2 linked regions of the Caenorhabditis elegans genome follow. The protein of the gene in region 1 purifies or fractionates together with the protein of each later gene. This does not show direct contact. Each region holds a gene or a part of one and is shown on either strand. Other genes may lie near its edges.

Region 1 (5,419 bases):
TGTCTTTTCTTGAAAGCAAACATGTCTTTAAATATTATTTTCCACAGCGCCTCAGATCGGGAGAGAAGAGCTAAAGAAGTGGTTTTGGCGCGGGAGCGCGTTTGCTGCAGACGTCGCACGAATTGGAATTAATGTGTAACAAAACAGTAAAATATCGCGTTTTTGCTGGATTTTAGGGATTTTAAAGCAATTTTCAACATGCGGGACCGCCCAGAGACTGTTCGCGATGCGATTTACTTCATTTTAATATAAATTTTCCCCCAAATAAGCTCGAAATGAGCTCTGAATTTCGGCGGATCTGAAAATTTTTTTTGACCAAAAACAGAATTTTGCAAATAAAAATTGATTTTAGAGCAATTTATTGCATAAATATTCAATTTTAGAATTTTTACTAATAGTTTGAATCTTTTTAAAGTGTTTTAGTCATTAATTTGACTGATAACACAGAAAATGATTTTTCTTTACAACGAAATCGATAAAAAAGTAAAGCAACATTTATCAAGGGAAATCTTGCAAAATTGGTTAAAAAACTTGTATGAAATCAAAGATTTCACTAGAATAAAGCTACAAATCAATCAAAATCACTAAAAGTACAAATAGTTCTGATCAAATTTCAATGTTCCAATCTACCAATGGATCTATGCCACGCCAAATTTCTTATGCAAGTGTTGCTCTCCAATTTTCCTTAAAAAATGGATCAAATACTCACATAAATGATCAAATTAACATTTTTTACAAGTTTCGTGTTATATTTTCTTTTTCTTAATAAGGAACCATCAGGTTCTTCCTGCCCTCTACGGCTCTAGATACCTCAACTTCGACAACTCCTATCTACTCGGAGAGGTGAGAGAACTTGTAGAGCACATCAAAAACTATGATATTCAATTTAACCTGCGTTTTTATCTTTCAAGATGGGGGAGTTAGACGTACATTTGTATTGCATGCTTTTTGTTATTCTACTGGCTGCTCTAACTCCCTCATCTTAAGAGATAAACACATGATTTTAACTAATTAGTATAGTTTCTACAATTTCCTAGTTAATCACTTTTTGATATCTTGCATCTCTGAGGAGATAGGAGTTGTCGAAGATACAGTATCTATAGCTATGCGCATATGAAGAATCTAATGGATTCTCATCATGCTATACTACTTATCATCTGCTTTTTGTGGGAAACAATGATTCAAAAATGTTTTTTCAAATGATCAAACAAGTTGTGATTTGATCTGAACATTTAGTGTTGGTTTAGTGAAGATCAGCTGCCAACTAAACAGTTTCCGTTGATGTGGGCATTTTTGAACAATTTCAAGACGTGAAACCGTGTTATCTCTATCAAGCTGACGTTTAAAAATTGGAATCAAACATATTAATGCTTGAAAAAATTTGTTTCGCGTAGAAATTTTGTCATAAAGTTAACTTGTTCTAGTCGGTTCGAAAATCAATGAAAAAGCAGCCAAATCGTGAATTTGTTGAATAAAATGTTTTTTAAAACTTTTTTAAAGCAATAATAATCCCAATATTTAATTATTTTTTCCAAATTTCATCTTGAAAACTCGAATAATCGCGAAATTTCGTCTGAAACTCATTTAATACCGTAAAAGTGTGCAAACGCGCTCCGTTGGACTTTCCTATTCTCGATTTTCTTAACTCTCCCGATTTGAGGCGCTGTGTTTTCCTGTTAAAATGCGTTTGTCAACGTTGACAACTCAACTACGGTTGCCAATGCGTGTTTGCGTACACACTCGATCCCACGCGCAACTGCATACGCCGCGTTGGTTTTAATTCCATCTTTTTTAAATTTATTTTCGGCGTTTGTATTGATTTTTGCTGTGTATTCCTTTAACATGAACTGATTTTTGTCCATGATAACTTTTGAACAACTTAATATTCATTATCGCATTTTTCTTACATTTATTTCCAGGTAATCATCCGAACAATTATGAAATCTCTAGTTATCTTTCTGTCAGCTATCGTTCTTGCCCATTCTCTGAGGTTCTACGTGCCACCAAAAGAGAAAAAGTGTCTGAAAGAGGAAATTCACAAGGTAAATACTTTTACAACTCCTTGTTACCATAGCAGTAAAGATGTCAAACATACTTTTTTTCGTTAAAAATTGATATATTTAATAAACATCAGAATTTATGTCTAATAAAACCTCTTGCAGAATGTGGTCGTAACAGGAGAATATGAGTTCAGTCAAGGAATTCAATACACTGGAAGTATTCACGTGAGTAAAAATAGTTTCAAAATTACTTCAAATTTTTAATTTATTTTCAGGTCACCGACACCAGAGGCCACACTCTCTACAAACGTGAAAACTTTGCTGATCTAAAAGGAAAATTCGCGTTCACTGCTGACGAATACGACATCTTTGAGATTTGCATTGAGAATCATCCACCAGCTGGGCATCCTGGAGAGAAGCGCGAGGTTTCTCTTATTTTGAAGCACGGAGTCGAAGCCAAGAATTATGATGATATTGCCAAAGCCGAGAAGCTGAAGCCACTCGAGGTTGAACTTAGAAGATTGGAGGATATGGCTGATTCAATCACCAAAGATTTCGCATTCATGCGCCAAAGAGAGGAAGAAATGAGAAATACGAACGGTAAGTGTTTAAAAAATCATTTGAATCATATAAAAGGTTCGTAATTATTTTAATTTAAAAATAATGCATTGCCGATTATCCAAGTACAGTGCTCCACATAATGATACGGCCACCCCCAAATTTTGGTATAACTCAAAACTGGGTTGAGATAGCAAAACATAATTTCTTGTGAAAATGTCCGCTGTACTGGCTAACTTTCAGATAAGTATTGGAAATATACATGAACCGTTCGTAAAAAAAGATAAACCATTTTTTCATGAAAATCCATATAAAAAAATCCACAAAATGATACGGCCACCCTTGGTTATTGTTTTCTTTTTTCGTTTTCTTTGCAATTTTTTTTGCTAAACGTTAGGTTTCATGTTCGTTTGTGTTTTTACAGCTATGTGTCGTGGAATAACTTTAACTGACTACGGAAAAAGACAAATTGTGCAAAATTATCTCAAGGCTTTTCGGATCGTCAGATTTCTCGTGATTTGAAACGTTCGAGAGATATGATCATTCGATATGCTTCAAATCCTGCCGCTCATTGCACCAAACAGTCTTCTGGTCGCCCACCACTTCTTTCTGGTAGAGACAAGCGAAAAATCGTTCGTCGAGCATCAAATTGAACAGTGACTTTCTCAAAAATTAGGCGCGAGATGAACCTGCCAGTGTCTGTTGAGACTGCACGACGTGTTCTTTCGAATTCCCAGTTTATCAAAAGACGAAAATTGAGAAAGGCTCCTTTCATTACCGAAAAAACCGCTAAAATCGTATTCAGTTAGCTAAAATCAGCCAGAGAACTAACTGGAGACAAGTGAAGATTACCGTATGATCATTCAAGCCCAATTTTGGTTTTAGTTCATCTTTTCTTCTCTCAAATCGTACCAGTAATCACGGTAGCCTTCTGGTTCATCACAGTTAAACTTTTCCTCGTCACTGAAGATGATCTGAGACCAATACATGAGCTTGAATGATCATACCGTAATCCTCACTTGTCTCCAGTTAGTTCTCTGGCTGATTTTAGCAAACTGAATACGACTTTGGCAGTGTTTTTCGGTAATGAAAGGAGCCTTTCCTAATTTTCGTCTTTTGATAAACTGAGACTTCGAAATAACACGTCGTGCAGTCTCAACAGACACTGGCAGGTTCATCTCGCGCCTAATTTTTGAGCAAGTCACTGTTCAATTGGATGCTAGACGAACGATTTTTCGCTTGTCTCTACCAGAAAGAAGTGGTGGGCGACCAGAAGACTTTTTGGTGCAATAAGTGGCAGGATTTGAAGCAAATCGAGTGATCATATCTCTTGAACGTTTCAAATCACGAAAAATCTGACGATCCGAAAAGCCTTGAGATAATTTTGCACAATTCGTCTTTTTCCGTAGTCAGTTAAAGTTATTCCACGACACATAGCTGTAAAAACACAAACGAACATAAAACCTAACGTTTAGCAAAAAAAAATTGCAAAGAAAACGAAAAAAGAAAACAAAAACCAAGGGTGGCCGTATCATTTTGTGGATTTTTTTATATGGATTTTCATGAAAAAATGGTTTATCTTTTTTTACGAACGGTTCATGTATATTTCCAATACTTATCTGAAAGTTAGCCAGTACAGCGGACATTTTCACAAGAAATTATGTTTTGCTATCTCAACCCAGTTTTGAGTTATACCAAAATTTGGGGGTGGCCGTATCATTATGTGGAGCACTGTATTAAGCTTTTATTATCATTGTTAATTAAATAGATTTGTAAGGCTACAACATATCGTTTCGAGACGCAATTCATTCTCTTCACGGAGCAGGATATTGTGATCCCTGGAAATTGTTTACCACTTTACTTGAGCAAACTCTAATTATTCGATTCATCGACAACCATCTATTTTTTACTTTTTTTTACAGAATCGACAAACAGCCGAGTTCTTTACCTGTCCATCTTTTCAATGCTGTGCCTTCTTGGTCTTGCCATTTGGCAAGTTCTTTTCCTCCGTAATTACTTCAAGTCGAAAAAGCTTATCGACTAGATTTCCCCAACCCTTAATTTATGATTAATTTATCAATTTTTTTTTCGGTTCTCCTCAACTTCTTGCTTTTCCCCCAACATCTCTTTTGTCCACACACCCAAACGTTTCATGTGATTTCTAATTGGTTCCCACATCTTTTTTACTAGATAATGATGATAATGAGTATTTTATTTTGTTGGATTTTAGTTGTTTCCTCCCCCGTTAATCTGCACAAGTATCAACAAAGGGTAAAATGTATAGTGTGTAATGTTTCCGTCTTATTTTTCTGTTTTCATCATTGCCGTTTTTTAAAATCATTATTATGAACTTTTAAATTGAAACATTGAAACATCAATTGGTAATTTACTCACCATATGGTGATTTAGTAAAGTACATAAGATCACTTTTCAAGAAGTCTTTTTCAGACGTCATCCTTTCAGAAATAACTTCAGACTTCATTCTCCACCAGTTCACTTACAACAATGATCGGTCTACATATTTTCCACTACGCCGGCTTTTTCGGAGCACAAATCTTCAATACTGTTCTGGCAATATTAATTGTGAAAAGAGCTGGAAAACTGTTTGGTAGTTACCGTCATGTTATGTTTGTATTCACATTTTGTTCGATGTTGTACTCTGCAGTAGAGATAATTGCACAGCCGGTACGATACAATAGAAAATTGGAACTTGAAATTGAAATTTTGAGAATGTTACTTCAAATAATCGTCTTTCAGGTACTATACATGAAAGGTCCAATGTTTGTCGTGTTTCTTGATAATAACGTTTTTTCTCAAGGCATTGGAAATGTAGTTGCTTGTTAGTTTTAAACATTTTACTT
Region 2 (4,795 bases), on another chromosome or scaffold:
GTTTTGGAGGTCTCAAAACTGCAATTATCTGATTTTTCGCCTATTTTTTTTTGACAAAAATCGCGGAATTTTCAAGATTTCGGGGTCTAAAGACGGTAATTTTCTAACTTTTTATCTTTTTTTTTTTCAGAAAAACGCGAAATTTTCACGGTTTTGGGGCTTTTGGCGTCTAAAACTCGATTTTTTTGAGAATTTTGATAGGTTTTTCAAGAAAAAATAAAGATTTAATTATTTTTCAGCTTATTAACGAAAAAATTGCACAATTTCCAGGTTTTGGAGCATTTTTTTCGAAAAAAAAAAACTCAACATTTTTCATTTTTTCAGGCTATTTTTCGAGAAAATCGCTGAATTTTTAAGGTTTTGGGGTCTAAAAATCGTAATTTTCCAGTTTTTTCGCTAAAATCGCACAATTTTTATGGTGTTGGCGATTTTTTGTCCATTTTTTCCAGGAAAATCCGTCATTTTTCCAAGATTTTCCTCACCTAACGGCTGGTGATGATGACTGAAGAAGATTGTAGACACATCTGATGAATCGGGAAGCCTCGTTTGGATTATTGTGGCAAACCTGAAAGAAAATTGGAGTTTTTGGATGATTTCGGCCATTTTTTTTCAGTTTTTTCGGTTAAAATTGGAGGAAAATCATATTTTTCGATAAATTTATCGTATTTTCGTTGAAAAAACCAATTTTTAGTTAATTTTAAAATTAAAAATCGATTTTCACACATTTTTATAGTGAAATTTCTAGATTTTCACGATTTTTCTGAGATTTTTGCTTAAAAGTTCATATTTTCATTCAATTTTCATAAAAAGCGACGTTTTAAATGAAAATTCTCCGTTTTTTTAAAACAAAAATAGCCTGTTTAACAAGTTTTTCTCAAAAAATCGATATTTTCAATCAATTTTCTTGAAAATCGCCGTTTTTAATGTAAATTCTCCATTTTTCAACGAAAAAACGCCATTTTTATAGCTTTTTTACTCTAAAATTCACATTTTCAGTTAATTTTCATAAAAAAAGTGCCGTTTTTAATGGAAATTCTCCGTTTTTTAACAAAAAAAAAAACCCCATTTTTACAGGGTTTTGTCAGATTTTTCCTTAAAAAACCGCAATTTTCTTGAAAATCGCCGTTTTTAATGAAAATTCTTCGATTTTCAACGAAAAAAACCCCATTTTTACGGGTTTTTTCTCAAAAAATCGATATTTTCAGTCAATTTTCCACAGAATGCACCTTATAAATGAGTTCAACAATAACGAGCTGCAATATATCTCCAAAAGATCCGACTTGATCGATACATCCCGATAAATAGTCAAGAGCACGAGCTTGATCTACGTGAAGGAGCATCATAAAAGCGTTACGCTTGCACGAAGCATCTTGCTCCTGTTCAAGGTATTCTGTGACGAGCTCCGGTGCGTCTGGGATCAGGAATTCAAAGTTTTCTGGAAAAAAAGCGGGATTTTTGGATTAAACGGGGAAAAAATGATCAAAAAATGCGAAAAAATCACCTAATTTTAGCTAAAATCATTAATTTTGGTCAATTTTCCGGTCCCGAAGTTGGTTTTTTCTCAAATTTTCACCTTTTATTGCATATTTCCATTGATTTTTCGTTAATTAAGGTGCATTTCAAGACCAAACTCGCATTTTTAGCTGAAAAATACGATTTTTCCTGGTTTTTTTGCAGAAAATATGACATTTTTAGCTGGAAATCTGCAAGTTTTTCAGGTTTTTCCCTGAAAAATTCGATTTTTCTGCTTAAAATAACGAAATTTTACGTATTTTTAGCTTAAAACATCAAAAAGTCGAATTTTTTTTCCATCTTCCAGCTTAATAATCGATTTTTGGCAACAAAAATCAGACAAAATGCTCATTTTTCAGCTGAATATTGGCATTTTTGCCGTTTTTCAGCGAAAAATAGTCAGAATTTCGTTGGAAATGTGATTTTTCTTGAAAAATCATGAAAAATCGTATTTTTCAGCAAAAAAACTGAAAAAAAAACCCCAAATTTTAGCTGAAAATGGGATTTTTGCCATTTTTGGCTGACAAAATCGCATTTTCAGCTAAAAATGTGTTTTTTGGCATAAAAATTGTAAAAAATCGTATTTTTCAGCTCAAAAAACATGAGAAATCGCAATTTTCACCAAAAAAAACTGAAGAAACCTTCAAATTTCGGCTAAAAATGCGATTTTTGCCATTTTTGGCTGAAAAATTCGCCAATTTTCAGCTAATAAAGGGATTTTTTCGCAAAAAATCGCAAATTTCACCGAAAATGAGCCTAGAAAATCGCATTTTGGAGCAAAAAATCAAAAATCTTAAGAAACCCTCAAATTTCGGCTAAAAATGCGATTTTAGCCGTTCTTGGCTGAAAAATTCGCCAATTTTCAGCTAAAAATGCGATTTTTTGCAATAAATGTACCTTTTATCAACTAAATAACGTAAAATATGCAATAAAAGGTGAAAATTCTTGGAAAAAAGTCATTTTTCGCATTTTCAAGCCCATTTCAGGCCTAAATAAGCCCAAAAAAACTCACTATAAATAGTGAAAATCGCGCAGACAGCGTTACGACGAACATACGAGTGCCGATGCTCCAAACAAGCTCTAATCGCCGGCATAAGCGGCTCGAGAAGCTCGGGCTCACGGAGTTTGCACAAAAACCGAAGGGTCGAACCGCGAACGAACTCATTCGGGTGTTGAAGGTCTTTTCGGTAGGCATCGCACACCAGAATCATCTCGTGGAGCAGCTTTCCATTGGAATCCGTCTTCGGAACACATTCCCAGAAGATCAAGAGCACTTTTTTAAGGGTGTGCTCATTGGATGGAAGACAGAAGCGGATGACGTACATTAGCATGCTCTGCGACGTTTTTTCTCCGTTTAAAATCATGTAAATGAGCTTTTTGAGCGCCTCAATTCGCTCTTTATCGCCTCCTTTCTCGAATTTTTCCTTCAATTGAGCTTCTGATGGGAGCTCAGCGTCACTGGGCACGTGGATGAGTGTGTAGCATGGTTGCTCTCCGGAGCTCATTGTGGAGGAGCTGGAAATTCGGGTTTTTTGTGGGGAAAAGAAAGAAAAAAGTAGAGAAAGTTCACGTTTTAAAAAAAAATTTGTGAAAAAATTGAATTTTCCAGCTAAATCGCATTTTTCTGTGAAAAATCATCGAAAATCATCGAAAAACGCCAGAAAATGAATAAAAATCGTCAAAATACGCTGGAAAACCCCCGAAAATCGCCTTTAAGCATGAAAAATGCCCAAAAACGTCAGAAAATGGATAAAAATCATCAAAAAACGCTGTAAATGACAAGAAAATCACTCTGAAGCATGAAAAATGCTCAAAAACATCAGAAAAATCAAAAACATCAGAAAAATTGAATTTTTGACCATTTTTAACCCTAAAACTCTTCGAAATCCAGCTGAAAACCCGATTTTTTAGTCAAAAATTCCGTTTTTTGGCGTAAAAATCGGAAAATCCCGGCTTTTAACCTAAAAATTAGGTGTTTACTGAAAATTTCCAAATTTTCGGCTAACAATCCCCATTTTCAATCGATTTTTTCCATTTTTCACTGAAAAAATCAATTTTTTAGCTTAAAAATCGAAAAATATCGGTTTTTAAGCTAAAAAATCAGATTTTTACTGAAAATTTCCAAATTTTCGGCTAAAAATCCCCATTTTCAATCGATTTTTTCCATTTTTCACTGAAAAAATCAATTTTTTAGCTTAAAAATCGAAAAATATCGGTTTTTAAGCTAAAAAAATCAGATTTTTACTGAAAATTTCCAAATTTTCGGCTAAAAATCCCCATTTTCAATCGATTTTTTCCATTTTTTCAGTAAAAAATGCCAAATTTTTTACTAAAAATGCAAATTTTCTGACTGTTCTTGTAAAAAAATTGAAAAAATTCAATTTTTTGGACAATTGTATGCAAAATTCGCCTTTCCCTCGGTTTTTTTTTGTGGTAAAACCCCGCGAAAATTCGCTTTTTTTGCCTTAAAACTTAATTTTTAATGGAAAAAAAAACGCGAAAAGTTGCAAAAATCCACAAAAAATGCGATTTTTGTTAGTTTTAGCTGAAAAAAATTGCATTTTTCAGCTAGAAATCTGAAAAATCACACAAATTGTTGCTAATAATGCAATTTTTGCCAGTTTTGGCTGAAAAAATTGCATTTTTCAGAAAAAAATACTGAGAAAACCACCAAAATTCTGCTGATAATGGGATTTTTTGTCGTTTTTGCCTGAAAAAATCGCATTTTTCAGCAAAAACTGTAACTTTTTCTGCAAAAAACACAGAAAATCGAATTTCTAATGGAAAAAAATCGCAAAAATCCACAGAAAACTACGGAAAAAGTTGCGAAACTTGATTTTTCACAAAATTCTCTCATTTCGCCTGGTTTTTATTGATTTTTTGACAGAAATCTAGGCTTTAAAGCTGTAAAACCCAATTTTCAACGACAAATTGATTTAAATTGACCTAATTCAACGCCACGTCACTTTTCACTCTTTCTACCTGTTTTTTATCGATTTTTGCCGCTTTTTCGACTGAAATATAGCTTTAAAAGCTTCAAAAATCAATTTTTAACCTCAAAAACCCACGAAAAAACGAAAAAATCCGCTGAAAACCGGCAAAAATCCACGTAAATCGCCGGAAAAAGATTGGAATCTAGATTTCTCGCACAGTGACGTGGTTCTCGCCATCCACCGTACCCCGTGACACAGCGGCGGGCAAATCGTGGCGAGACCCGGCCGCATTTTGAAATGTGATAATTTACACGGAAATCGACACAAAAAGCTTAAGTTCTCTCGGTTTT

Evidence for each region. The genes of interacting proteins can lie anywhere in the genome.
Region 2: the proteins of tmed-10 (region 1) and copb-1 fractionate together in Caenorhabditis elegans (co-fractionation; one large-scale study listed by BioGRID). This does not show direct contact.

What each region holds. Positions count from the first base shown.
Region 1 is NC_003283.11:11,323,465-11,328,883, reverse strand, and holds tmed-10 (GOLD domain-containing protein), read left to right. Parts: upstream 1-1,919; 5' UTR 1,920-1,937; coding exon 1,938-2,042; intron 2,043-2,162; coding exon 2,163-2,225; intron 2,226-2,275; coding exon 2,276-2,600; intron 2,601-4,480; coding exon 4,481-4,602; 3' UTR 4,603-4,919; downstream 4,920-5,419. Other genes in the region: str-141 (Serpentine receptor class r-10), read left to right, coding at 5,064-5,243, 5,316-5,397.
Region 2 is NC_003280.10:3,077,028-3,081,822, reverse strand, and holds the start of copb-1 (Coatomer subunit beta), read right to left. Parts: upstream 3,028-4,795; 5' UTR 3,018-3,027; coding exon 2,525-3,017; intron 1,436-2,524; coding exon 1,227-1,435; intron 566-1,226; coding exon 483-565; intron 1-482.